2 linked regions of the Ovis aries genome follow. The protein of the gene in region 2 purifies or fractionates together with the protein of the main gene of each other region. This does not show direct contact. Links are inferred from orthologs where the notes say so. Each region holds a gene or a part of one and is shown on either strand. Other genes may lie near its edges.

Region 1 (7,149 bases), on a different chromosome or scaffold from region 2:
GAAAATGATGAACAAGAAAAATTGCAGTTGAGATATATCTAAATGAGCTGTAGGAATTATCCTTGTGAAATAAAAGATTAAGGGGTGTTATTGGACTGAGGTCAAATTGGTCCTCCTAAAAGTGATACAAGCATGAAAATCCAAAGATAAAAACAGCTAAGGGAAAAACCCTTTGAAGTCAATCTACTTGAGTAAAGTGAGAAATGAGAAAAGGGTACAAGCAATTTTTAAGGACTCTCCACACTGTTTTCCATAGTGGTTGTACTAGTTTGCATTCCCACCAACAGTGTAGGAGGGTTCCCTTTTCTCCACACCCTCTCCAGCCTTTATTGCTTGCAGATTTTTGGATCGCAGACATTCTGACTGGTGTGAAGTGGTACCTGCCATATGACCCAGCAGTCCCACTGCTGGGCATACACACCAAGGAAACCAGAATTGAAAGAGACACATGTACTCCAATGTTCATCGCAGCATTGTTTATAATAGCCAGGACATGGAAACAACCTAGATGTCCATCAGCAGATGAATGGATAAGAACGCTATGGTACATATACACTATGGAGTATTCTCGGCTGTTAAAAAGAATACATTTGAATCCGTTCTGATGAGATGGATAAAACTGGAGCCGATTATACAGAGTGAAGTAAGCCAGAAAGAAAAAAAACCAATACAGTATACTAACACATATATATGGAATTTAGAAAGATGGCAATGATGACCTTGTATGCAAGACAGCAAAAAAGACATAGATGTGTATAGCCGACTTTTGGACTCAGAGGGAGAGGGAGAGGGTGGGATGATTTGGGAGAATGGCATTGAAACATGTATACTATCATGTAAGAATCGAATCACCAGTCTATGTCCGATGCAGGATACAGCATGCTTGGGGTTGGTGCATGGGGATGACCCAGGGGGATGTTGTGGGGAGGGAGGTGGGAGGGAGGTTCATGTTTGGGTTCGCATGTACACCCATGGTAGATTCATATCAATGTATGGCAAAACCAATACAGTATTGTAAAGTAAAATAAAGTAAAAATAAAAATTAAAAAAAAGAAAAGGGTACAAGCTAATAAAGAGAGGATTCTAGAAATGTCAAAACAATATTGTAATATGAGTTAGGTTTCGAGTGACAATAGCCAGACTCACTGAGGGCATATGTAAGAAGCTGCCAGTTTGAGGAAACCCAGGAATGGCTGAAAGACCACAATGGCTTATACAAGGCATGTTGATTAGCTGCAGGAACATTGGATCCAGAGGTTTCTGTGCCCAATTTTTTTTTTTAAAGGATGCACCTCTGGGACTGTCAACTTTGTTTTTGTTGACAGTCTCAAACAAAACTGCAGATTTGGTTTCTAAATTTGAAAACTGATATACAACCACCAATTGTTACATCTCAAATCAATTGTTATCTGGGAAAATTTTGGGGATCTAGGTTAATTTAAAAAAGAAAAAAAAAGTATCTTGGGAGGGATTTGCATGTGATACTATTCAGTATCTGTGGAAGATGGGGATGTTGTGCTCTAAGAAGGTGAAGTTTCCACAGGAAGAAAAGCGGAGGTTGAAACAGTCATAAAGAAAAGGAAGGTCCTGGAAAAACAGGCGGAAAGACATCCTATGAGTCTATGCTAATATAATCTTTGTGTGAGGGGATTCTAATGAAACAAAATTTACATCAAAATTATCCAATGGAATAGAAAAACCAAAATCAATGACCATTAAAACACTAACAAAGTCATTATTATATTGCCTTCAAGAGAACTTCGATCACACTCGGATTGACAACATTCTGCATTTCTTGTTCAAAACTCTTCCATACGGTAGGAAATCAATGAATTTTTGTTGTTATTCTTCAGAATTCCAATTTGTCCAATTAGTTCTCCTGGTGGCTCAGAGGGTAAACTGTCTGTCTGCACCGCGGGAGACCTGGGTTCAATCCCCTGGAGAAGGAAATGTCAACTCACTCCAATATTTTTGCCTGGAAAAGCCCATGGACATAGGAGCCTGGTAGGCTACGCCCATGGGATCGCAAAGAGTCGGACATGACTAAGCGACTTCTCTTTTTCAGAGTTGACATATTTTCTTGGGCAATCCTGGCTGTTCTCTCAGTTTAAATTCTCACACTGATCTGAAACCTAGTTGACACACCAGCCTAGTTCTTACTCTTGGATTGATCTCTAACTTGATTTTGGATATACCTAATCAAATGCTTCCTAAGAAAGTTCAGTTTCAGCATTTCAGAAGCTTAAATTGCCATCTGTCCCTTAAACTGACTCCTTGTCCAGTGCTCACCCATCTCCCTCCCCTCCTCCTCAAGAACTCCTCCTTAGCCATAACAGGATACCTGGGGAGGGGGTGTGATCACTGAGGCCCATATTCTAGCGGACCCTCTATGCTTACTGGGGGCCTCCTAGCCCCCTCCTGCAGCCCACCAGGAGCCCCGCCCGCCAACTCGACTGCCGGGCCCCAGGCGCGCGGACGCGCAGGCGCATTGGCCCGGCCCGCCGCCGCCCCGCCCTGCCTGGCCTCTGCGGAAGGCGCCGCGCGCAGCAATGCGCACTTCCTCTCCAGGAGTCCGCGGAGGGAAAGCAGACTCGAAGAGCTCTCGGACTCGGCGGCCCTGCTCTTGCGAGACCGAACAGATATGTCCGAACAAAGTAAGGATGTGTGCGACCCCAACTTTGCGGCCGAGGCCTCCAACTCCGAGGTGCACGGCAGCCCCGGCATTACCGGGGGGCCCTCTCCTCCGGGGTCTCAGGCCGCGACACTCACTGAGCCAGAGCGCCCTCCCTTAAGCCCGCCTGATGCCCCTCTGGTCTCGCTGCCTTCCCAGGCTCCAGGCGAAGAGGGAGACCCGAAGGCCCTGCAGCAGGCCGCTGACGAAGGCCGTCCCCACCAGGCCCCGAGCACAAGTCAGCTCAGCCCGGCGCCCCCGGCCCCGGCCCAGCTGGTGCAGAAGGCACACGAGCTCATGTGGTACGTGCTGGTCAAGGACCAGAAGAGGATGATCATCTGGTTCCCAGACATGGTGAAGGATGTCATCGGCAGTTACAAGAAGTGGTGCAGAAGCATCCTTCGGCGCACCAGCCTCATCCTCGCACGCGTGTTCGGGCTGCACCTGAGGCTGACCAGCCTGCACACCATGGAGTTTTCGCTGGTCAAAGCTCTGGAGCCAGAGGAGTTGGACAGGGTCGCTCTGAGCAACCGCATGCCGATGACGGGCCTCCTGCTGATGATCCTGAGCCTCATTTACGTGAAGGGTCGCGGCGCTCGAGAGAGTGCAGTCTGGAACGTGCTGCGCATCTTGGGGCTGAGGCCTTGGAAGAAACACTCCACCTTCGGAGACGTGAGAAAGCTTATCACCGAGGAGTTCGTCCAGCAGAACTACCTGAAGTACCAGCGCGTCCCCCATGTCGAGCCCCCTGAGTACGAGTTCTTCTGGGGCTCCCGTGCCAGCCGCGAAATCACCAAGATGCAGATCATGGAGTTCCTGGCCAGGGTCTTTAAGAAAAACCCCCAGGCCTGGCCTTCCCGCTACAGGGAGGCTCTGGAAGAGGCTAGAGCCCTGCGGGAGGCCCACCCCACTGCCCACTGCCCCCGCAACAGTGTCTCCGAGGACTAGCAAGGTCTGGAGGCAGATGGAAGTTTTCTGCCCCTCACCAGGGTGGAGGAAGGGTGGGAGTGTGGGACGTTAGAGTATTCAGGATCTACAGTGCAGTATTTCACGTGTAACTTTTAAGTTTTCCATACAGTGCTTTTATACCTCTTAATGCAATGTTGTGTTCATTTCAGTAATATTAGTGTATAGGATTCATGCATGGTTGTTTGTAATTAAGCTCAGTTGGTGCTTTCGCTTTTGTGCTACCTTTCTTGAATTTTTTGTACCAGAGACATGCTAAACTTATGAAATACACTGAGGCATTTTCCATATTCTTTTACGTGTGACGGAGGCTGTGTATTGGGGTAAATTGGTCTTGCAGAGTTTGGAAAAACTCCCCAGAAAAGCTGGCCTAACCAAGAGAAAAGTTGACCCCTGTCTTTGTGCTCTGCCTGGGCACGGGAAACATCCCTGTGGAGTTTGGTGATGTGAACTGAAACAGACTCAATGTGGGCACACTTTACTAAACACAGATACAACCTCACCATGAGTAAACTTTAAACATTAAAGATTCTTGTGATACAGTCATTCATGGAAAAAGTGTACTTTATCTTCTTAACAGAATATTATGGGTTTGGAATGGGAATTACAAAGTATACAGATATAACTATTTCATCTAATAGGACGGGGATGTCAGTACTCATCATGACTCATAAATATGTAAAGGGCATAGTTTTATTTTCAGGAAGGAATTCACAAGTTCATATCAAAGCTTTGACAAGTAGAAGTGCAAAAACCAAAACAGGGGTCATAATCACATTATATAGAAATAACAAATGCTGATATTTAGAGTAATTGCCCCTCTTACATTTTCCATATTTTCTAAAAAATAATAGCTGTCTTTTGTGGGCACTAAGAGAGGCCTTGTACTAAACCCTTACATATATTTTCTCTCTTTAATCCTCACAATAGCCTTGTGAAGCAGGCACCGTGGAGGAAATACAGAAATAAAGCAGATAATTAGCTTTCCCTGGATCATAAAGGCTTCCTGGGAGGAGAGGCTTAGTTTTAGGGTTTGGACCCAGACTGAATGAGCCCAGAGGCCGAACTTATACTCACCTGCCTCCAGCTGCCCTCCTGACTCCTGCCTTTTAGATTGTGCCTTTAAAAAGTTCCATGTTAGCATCTTTAGTTTTCATGTTATAGCCTGTACTTGTAGCTCCCTACTCTCAACACACACACACAGCTAAAGATTATTACTAATGAATCCTAAACATTCATCTTTTAGGGGAATTAAGTCATATTCTGTACAAGTCAAGGAACTTCATTTCAGAGAGGTTAATGGATCTAACCAAGTCCTGTTCCTACTTAGCAGTGAACCCAAGATTTGAAGCTTGGTCTTTTCTGAAGGACTGTGCTGATGGAGCTGACTGCCCAGTGGTCTGGAGGAACATACATGGGACACCTTGGAGAGGGATGTGGGGTTGGGGTGGGAAGGTCGCCTATTAGGGTGTCTCCAAAATTGCCATGGGCCACTAAGCAACCACTCAGAAGGTGGGATGGGGTCAGGGAGGGGCAGTGTCTGAGGATAAATCTCATTAGGGAGCTCAAAGCTGCAAGGGGGAGAAAGAGAAATAGGATTTAATAAGACCAAAAATCCTTCAAACATCAGAACATTGAAAAAGATCATTTCGTTAAAGCCAAACCCTTTTCTGGGGAAGATGGAAAATGAGGGGAATGCATAGGTGACATTACCCCCAAAAGAAGTAATCTGAGAGTTGTATTTGTGTGAGAGAATTACTATCTGAATTGGAGACTAGGATTCCCAGCGCTTAAAGAACATTACTTAACAGGCAGGTGCTGGTGCTAAAGTGCTGAAGAAGCCTCCCATGTCCTGAGAGGAAGTTTATCCCTTTTAGTAGATGTCCTGTGAGGTCTCCTGTGGGGAGTAGTGGGCATTTCTGCAATAACTTAGGCAAGTGTGCCCTGGCTTTGATGCCACCTCTTAACTGAGCCAAAGCTAATTCAGACATTTTAAAACTTAAAAAAAAAAATTACCTCCATCTCAACCCAAAACTTCCTGCAGAAACAAAACAAATCTGCCCCTTTAAATGTAAGTCTCCCCAGCCAAGCTGGGGTGCTGGACACTTTGTCTAATGCCCTAATTCAGCTTGAAACAACTGTTTAACTCCTGAGCACTTCTTTCATCAAACCCAGAAGTCACCAGCCACGCAGTCCTTTTACTTCCCAGTGTTTGTATTTGCTTTCTTTTCTGCCAGGAAAGACTGGCAGAACCACCCCAGAGCTTCTCCCAAGCTCCCTGACACAGGCACATCACCGGTGCTGTAGAGGACCAAATCTTGAGCGAAGGACAGGATCATGAGAAATGAGAAGCTGACCCCAGCAAGCTGACCCCATGTGGGCAGAGCTTCTCAGTTCCTATGCAGGCTTGGAGACAGCCAGACCCTGAGAGAGAGGCTTCCCAGATGCAGGACAGAGCTAATTCATGACACCAGGTCCTGCATGGAGAGTAGCTTGGGGCACAGGGAAGGGACATCCAGTATCTCTTTTGGATTTTCATGCTGGGCTCAACTGAAAGTTGAGGGGTTGGTCATGTATTTTCCAGAAGGTTTATCTACAAGGTGCTGCGAGAGCTCTTTCGGAATGGAGTCTGCAGACCCTGGATGTTTCAGCCGAGATGACAGTGCGGTGAAGCCCAGACTGCTGCTGCTGGGAAAGAGTTTCTAATTCCCGGTAACATCTGATGCTTTATCAGTCTGTTTTGCCAACAAGAACCTCACTTCTTTATAGACACCCACAGGTATATTTCCCTATAATTAACTTCATTTAATTAAAGTCATGGAGGGCAAAAAGGACCTGTGTAAACTGAATGTAATTAGCTTCCATTAAAATAGTATGTATGACAAAACCAATACAATATTGTAAAGTAATTAACTGATTAAAATAAATAAATTTATATTTAAAAAAATAATAAAATAAATAATATAAAAATAAAATTATTTTAAAAATAAAGGCTTTACATAAAAAATGTAATGCTACCTCATATAAGGTATTTTGAGAGCAAAATAAATGACTTTTGTAGTATCATTATAAAAAAAGAAAAGATATGTTTTAAATGAACTTCTTATGCAGGTGTGTATTTCCTCTACTTGAAAAGTCATCTATAGCCCCCTCCACTTGAGTTTTACCTGAGCAGCTCAGGAGTATCATTTCCAGTGGGAGAAAAGTCTGGCCTTGAAAGCAGTCATGTTCTCCTAGTATTACCTCCAATAGCATCCTAAACTGTTCATTCAAACTGTTTATAAGTAAGTTTGTTTTTCTTTTCCTGGGATGTAAGATGTTCTTGTTCAGTTGCCCGGTCGTGTCCAGCTCTTTGTGACCCCATGGACTGCAGCATGCCAGGCCTCCCTGTCCCTAACCATCTCCCAGGGTTTTCCCAAGTTCATGCTCATTGCTTCAGTGATGCCATCCAGCCATCTCATCCTCTGATGCCCTCTTCTCCTTCTGCCCTCAATCTTTCCAAGCATCAGGGT
Region 2 (6,894 bases):
TCTATCAGACAGTGCTCTTCAGAGCACATTCTTCCACTTAGTCAACAAAATTTTATTGGGTGCTAGCTGTATGCCAGGCAAGGTGTGGAGGATTAGAAGGTGAGCAAAACCAGACCTTGTCGCTGGTTTCCTGGAGATTACAGTAATCAAATAATCACTCAGACGGGTGCCTAAATGCAAAGAGAGATAAATAGTTTAAAGAAAAGGAGTTGTGGGGACTTCCCTGGTGGTCCAGTGGTTAAAACTCTGTGCTTACAAAGCAGAGGGCATAGGTTTGATCCTTGGTCAGGGAAACTAAGATATCACATGTAACATGACACAACCAGTGGGGGGCGGGGAAGGAATGGAACCTGGTGCTCTCTGAACCTGGATTCAGAAAACCTGATTTGTATCCAGAATATGATGAGAGCTTTTCCCCAAGGAAGCACTGAACTGGGAGGTAACTTGAGAAAGGAAGAATAGTACAGAAAGGATCAGTCAGCTCAGTTCAGTCGCTCAGTCGTGTCTGACTCTTTGCAACCCCACGGACTGCAGCACACCAGACTTCCCTGTCCGTCACCAACTCCCGGAGCTTGCTCAAACTCATGTCCATCGAGTTGGTGATGCCATCCGACCATCTCATCCTCTGTCGTCTGCTTCTCCTCCTGACTTCAATCTTTCCCAGCATCAGGTGGGAACTCATTTTCCAATGAGTCAGATCTTTGCATCAGGTGGTCAAAGTATTGAAGCTTCAAGTTCAGCATCAGTCCTTCCAATGAAGGACAGAAGTCAGAAGGGATAGCATGTGCAAAGGCCCTGTGGCTTGAAGCTTCAAGAACTGTGAGAGTGCTGGTGTGGGGAAGCACAGAGTGAGGATGAGGACAGATGGAGCAAGGCAGTGAGTCTGGAGGGGTTGGCAAGAGCCTCACACAGCCTCTGAGGGGTTGGCAGGAGTCTCACACAGCCTCTGAGGCAACATTAAAGAAGCAGTTTTGCTCTTGCAGGGGAATTAGAGAAGGGATGAAAGTTAGGCTGAAGGAGGACAAAGAGGGTTTCTCCACGATGCGGTGGTAGGTCGGTGTGAATCTCTGGCACTGTCTTTCAGGTTCTCTGCCCCACTGTCCCCAGGAGCCCCAGACCAGTATCAGTTACCTCCACACCTCCTATCCCATCCCGTGTGCTGTAAGGAGCTTTCACGATGCCCTCTTCTTGCCAGCCCTGTGGCTCCTCCTTTACCTCTCACTTCCACCTCCTGGCCCACTTATTCTGTCCCACCCTAATGACCCTCATGGCAATCAGAGCTGTGCTTTCTGAGATGGTAACCTGTCTATGGCATCCCCCTGCTTAATCCCCCTCAGTGGCTCCCCAGTGTTCTAAGATTAGTCCAGGTGGCTTTAGTGTATCTCTTTGTAAGCCCTTCCTTATCTGGCCCCCCTGACTTGCTCTCTGGGCTCCAGGCACAGGAGTCTCCCCAGGGCCCATGTGCTCTGTTCTCTCTCTTCAGGACCTTTGCTGCGCTGATTCCTCTGCCAGGAAATTCCTCCTCCCCCAGCTTGTTGACTCCACTTCAGTAGGGCTTAGTCTCAGTGTCTCTTTCCTGGCTACCCTTCCCTAACCCCTGGGAGGGGCGTCTGGGCTGGGACTCCCACTCACCCTTAGCATGGCACTCCACACCATCAGGGGCTGTCTGCTGCCTCCCCATCAAGAACTTAAGACTGTGGAAGGGTCTGCACCTCCTTATTTCCACACGCAGCATCTGGCTCTCGTCCACCAAATTAGAGGCATTTCCCCATCAGAATGGAGGCTCTTCTAGGACAGGAATTGTCTCCCTCATCAGATTAGAGGTATCCTCAAGTCTGGGGCTGTGTCTCCCCTCTTTGAAGGGGAGGCCCCTCAAGAGTCTGTCTCTGCCATCACAGTGGGGTTACCAAGACCCAGGATCATTTCTAATTTCGACTCCAAATCACTGCCCCTCCCCACCACCTTCCTCACAACCCTCACAGGCTGGGGGTGGGAGACGGAAGACGCCTCCCTCCACCTCACACATAACTCTTGGCTGGGGTCTGGTTGGCCCTTCCCAGGATCCCAAGATCAGGAAAGCTTGTTTGCTGTTCTTTGTGGGAAAGCAAGCCTCCCGTGGCATTCCCTAGCAACCACAAGCTGAACAGCTCAAACCAGCTGTCTGGCCAGCCTGGGAGAGGGGCACAGGCCCAGGGCCTGGAAGTCTGCAGCTCCTGGACCGGGCAGGGCACAAAGCCAGGCTGGTGGGAGCTGGGGCTGGGACCTGCCTGGGAGAGCCACAGGGGAGAGGCCTGCCCAACTCGGGCTGGGCCAGCCAGGCTCCTGCCAGGCCATCTGGAGCAGGACTGTCTGTGTGTGCTTGTGTGTTGGCCTGAGGAGTGCCTCCCAGGTCATGTGGGTGGCTGGGAGCTGTGGGGTTGTGACCCGGCCCTCCTAGCAAGCCTCTGGCTCCCCTGTGGTCAGTTTCACTTCTGACATCTGGTTAAGTTCACAGCTGGCCAGCTTCCTGCATGGCCATTTTCACTTTCCCTCTCCAAGGTCTGGCGGCTAAGGCCCCCACTCCGTCTTCATCCCACTTAACTCCACGGTGACACATGGGAATTTGCTGGATTTCTGTTAAAACTTCCCCGTTATGTGGGGGAGGGGGGCGGGAAATAGGACAGAAACTCACTGAGTTGGAAATTATACACAGGTCCCTACCACACACACACAACGCCCTACCAACTCAAACCATGTATGTTTCCAGAAAATCTCTGTACGATTTTTCTTTGTTTGCTATTTAATGTTCATCATTTATGTTTTATGTGTAGGTTTCAGGAGGACCCAAGAAATGATTACACAGGATGCAAGGGGCAGGTGACAGGGAGGGTGACAAGGAGTCTGGAGCTTACAGCTCCCAGCTGCGGGAGGGACTGGGCAAAAGGGCTCCATCTCAGCCCGAAGGGAGGCAGGAGGGGCCCCAGAACCAAACACATGCTAAAACATACTTGCAACCTCCAACCCCCTCCTTCGCTGCTGGGGAGGAAAATAAATACCTCAGACTCTGTCCCACTTCCCAAATTCACAGGTGAGGGGTCAGATGAGTTTCCTCCTCCTGTTACTGATTCAGGTCAAAGAAGTGCGGTCTATGTACAATGTCCCCAGTCCCTTATACAGAGGTGAGAAACCCCTTGGCTGGGGAGGGGGTGGCTGGCAGTATGCACCCTGCTCGGGGCTTGTTCATGCTAAATAGAGGGGGGCCACACTCATTCCAACATCAAGCAAAACGGGCCAGGAGGGACCTCACGGCCCCTTTCTGGTACCAAGCTAGGGAAGAAACAGTCCTTTGAAGGGTCGTCTCAACTCACAAGAGACCCTCGATGGGCCACACTCTAACTCCATTTCTTCCAGCTGCGTTCCCACACTGGTCCACTTTTCTTCACTGCAGCCTCCGGGGCCCAGCCAAACCCGTGCTTGCAGGGAAAGGGTGGAGGGGGGAGCATTCCTCCACGTGCAGGTCCTTGTAAGGCAGGCGCCAGCTCAAGCCTCAGTCGTCCTTGGCCCGCCAAACCCGGGGGTGAGGGAAGACGGCGAGCAGAGTTCAATTCCCTTCGACGCTTCTCTGGCAGCTGCCCCAGTAGGATCCGGCCTCGGCCCAAGAGAAAGAACTCTTGGAGAGAAGCAAGATTTCTCATCCTGTGTGTGTCTCTGTGAATCTGTGTGCTGCAGGTTGGCTGAGGGGGGAGGTCCTTAGTCCCCAGCCCCCAAGGCTGACTCCAGGGGAAGATGCTGCCTGTGTTAGCTCCAGGTCTGTGCTGGGATGGCAAATACTTACAGACTGGCCACACCACAGATGTCACATTGACGTGCCTGAGGGGACAGGCAGAGGGAAGCTGCACCCCTCGCCACAAACCCCGACCCTGACTGGGGTCAGGACAGACCAGGGGGTCAGGCCTTGGGTGAAGCATGAGCCCTGCACAGGGGCTGGACAGGCCTGGAGAGGGTGAAGAGCAGACTGGTTTTGGCTGTGAGACACTTGCCAGAGGGTTGTCTGGTCCCCTCCAGCAAGCCTGAGGCCTGCACCCCTCATTCAGGGTGAGGGGGCAGGCAGCTCATCTTTGGCTTCTCCATTGTTGGATGCTTTGGGCAAATGACCTCTCTCTGGGCCTCACGGTCCTGTACGACGAGGGGGATAGACTAGATTTCAACCCCGTTACCAGCTCTGATAAACCTCTGAGGCTCTTCATCTTAGGCCACAGGGGAGGAGGGGAGGGGGCTGAGGGAGGTTTAGGCCACAAAGGTGCTCCCTTGTGCCCCAAGTTCACAGTGTAGTATCCATGGCTCTGCTTCCTCAGTCTCTCCGTCTGAGTCTCTGGAGCCTGGTCATGCCCCCAACACCATCCCTGGTGTCAGCCCCCCAGATATGACAACCTGCTCAGGCGGGAGGGGCTGACACCCCGAGAAGCAGGGCGAGAAGCGAGCAGGAGGCCTGAGATGGCGACGGGGCAGAGAGGGTGGGAGAGGATGCAGGGGCACCTGCAGCACGGGAGGGAGAAGCAATGACTGGAGGCGGCGGGGCCGCACGGGGGCAGCGACTGGGCTGAGGCCCTGCCTGGAGGCAGGCAGCTCTTCCCTGCGGGGTTGGCTGGAGCATCGGTCGTCGGAATGCGGGGGCAGGGCAGGGGCTCCCGGCCGGCTCACACGGGGGACGTGGCCGTGGACTCGCTGCACAGGCTCTCCACGATGTCAGCCCGCTGGATGCGCCGCAGGGCCGCCAGGAGGGTGTCGAGCGTGGCACTGTCCTGGGCGGCCCAGCTGGCCAGCAGGGCACGGGCTGGGCAGGCCTCGTGGGTGAAGGAGTCTATGTGCTCAGGCTGGTAACCCAACTCGCCTGCCAGATGCCGCCAGGTATCCCCCGCAGAGCCGTTGAGCAGCTTCTCTACCTCCTCCCGCTTGGCCAGCGGCAGGCTGCTGTACAGGCCTCCATCACCCTTGAGGGCTGCCAAGAACCCAGGGGGAGTCAGACACTACCCACTAGACCCCCTTTCTCCCACAGTGGGTGTGGGGGCCTGGAATAAGACCCAAGAAGGGCTGAGGCATTTCTCCTCTCAGTCTGGGGAGGACCCAAGACCCTAGAAGCAGAGGGATGCCCAAGATGCAGTCCTAGATGTGGGCAGGGCAGCGGAGGCACCTGGGGGTTGCTGACTCATGTCTCCTCCTCATCCTTAGCTCCAGAGCCATCCCCAGCCCCTAACTTGCCTGCCCCCACCCCCCAGCAATTAATCAAGGCAGAGGAGACAGGACTTCTGGTCCTAGACTCAACTGCAGCCAAGTGTCTGGAGCTGGGCTATGGGCTACCAATTAGGGGACATAATTAACTACTCGTTCCCCAGAAGTCCTGGGCAGGAGGCTAATTGCAGCCACTTTGAGGAGTAATTAGCTCTGGGGGACAATTAGCTTGATGAGTCTAGATGCTCCAGTTTGTCAAAGCTTCTGTTTCCCAAGTCATTCTACTGGCAAGGGCCTCTCCTACCCACTCTCTCATCCCACCTCTTCCATCCTTCCACCCAGAGGCCTGCAGGCAGCCCCTTTGCAGTCCCTCCTACAGTCTAACCTTAATTACTCCTGTTCTCCCTGCCTCAGTACCCCGCACTGCCCCCCGCCGCCCCCGGCCAGCCCTGCTACTCACCCTGGCCTGCAGCAGTCTGCGTGTGGGGCTGCTGGTCATGCAGGCTCTGGCTGTCCACAGAGATGCCGCTGTCACTGTGCAGCTTTTCTCCCTCTGGTGGGGGCGTCTGGTTCACGGGTCGGCTGTTGGCTCCTTGCTTGTTCTGCTTGCAGCTGTTCCACCTGGAGCCAGAGCATAGGCCCAGTCTCAGAGCCTGAGGAGCCACATGGCCACGTGGCTAAAGTGTCTGTGCTCTGGCGCGCGGGCACCAAAGGCCTGGTGGGGGCTGGTCCCTAACCCCTGCCCAGCACGGGAGGCTCTCTACATACCTGTCCTCTACCTACCTTTCCCCGGCCCACACCAGAAGCACCGTGAGGGCACAGCGGTGCCCAGGGCTTGGTGTATGTGGCCAGTGTTTAGTAAATGTCCATGAGATGAATGGTGCACAAATAAATGACTTCCCAGGATTTCACTTTTCCCAATCTTTCCTTCTAAAGTACTCCCACATGTGTGCTGGCGTACGGGTAAGGATTTCCCCTGCTATTATAAGCAATAAGGAAAAGCTAAAAGCACACCAAATGTCCATCGATAGGAGATTGGTAAAATAAATTATACTCCACCCATATTATTGAATGAGCAGTTATAAATAATCAGATAATTCTATATGTTCTGAGGAAAGCTCTCCCAAGGGAGATCAGTGAAAAAGCAAGTTGTCCAATATGTAGAGTGTGATCACATTGATGTTAAAAAAAAAAAGCCAACCTGTGTGTACATATAACTATAAAAGGTTTTATACACATGTGTTTATGGGGAGATAAAAGGAGGTTTTACTACTTTTTGCTTTACAAGACATTGGTCTTCTCTGCATTATCCCAAAAACCATGTTATTTCTTTGATGATTTTTTTTCTAAAGAATGGAAAATGCATTTAAACATCTAGAATGCTTTCGAGGTCTTCTCCACATCCTGGATTTCTGGACATGAGTCCCGTAACATCCATGTGTGACATAGGAAAGAAAGATACACACACACACACACACACACACACACACACACACACACACACACAGGTAACTGTGTGAATAAATGGGGTCCAGGGAATGAGGATGCAAGCAGCTGGTAAAAGCAGCTCTGTGTGCAGCTGGAGGCTGAGGAGTCAGGTAGGGGCGCACAGTGGGGAGGTGCTGGCACCAGGGCGGGACAGGAACAATCCCCTTCCTTGCCTCCTGCTGACCTGCCACACCTTGA

Evidence for each region.
Region 1: the proteins of NGFR (region 2) and NDN purify together in Homo sapiens (affinity purification with western blotting; 3 studies listed by BioGRID). This does not show direct contact. The link is inferred for Ovis aries from reciprocal best matches to the Homo sapiens genes NGFR and NDN.

The regions. Positions count from the first base shown.
Region 1 is NC_056071.1:617,764-624,912, reverse strand, and holds NDN (necdin), read left to right. Parts: upstream 1-2,553; 5' UTR 2,554-2,641; coding exon 2,642-3,619; 3' UTR 3,620-4,183; downstream 4,184-7,149. UniProt on the Homo sapiens protein: Growth suppressor that facilitates the entry of the cell into cell cycle arrest.
Region 2 is NC_056064.1:36,822,640-36,829,533, forward strand, and holds the end of NGFR (tumor necrosis factor receptor superfamily member 16), read right to left. Parts: intron 5,830-6,894; coding exon 5,669-5,829; intron 4,979-5,668; coding exon 4,677-4,978; 3' UTR 2,762-4,676; downstream 1-2,761. UniProt on the Homo sapiens protein: Low affinity receptor which can bind to NGF, BDNF, NTF3, and NTF4. Forms a heterodimeric receptor with SORCS2 that binds the precursor forms of NGF, BDNF and NTF3 with high affinity, and has much lower affinity for mature NGF and BDNF.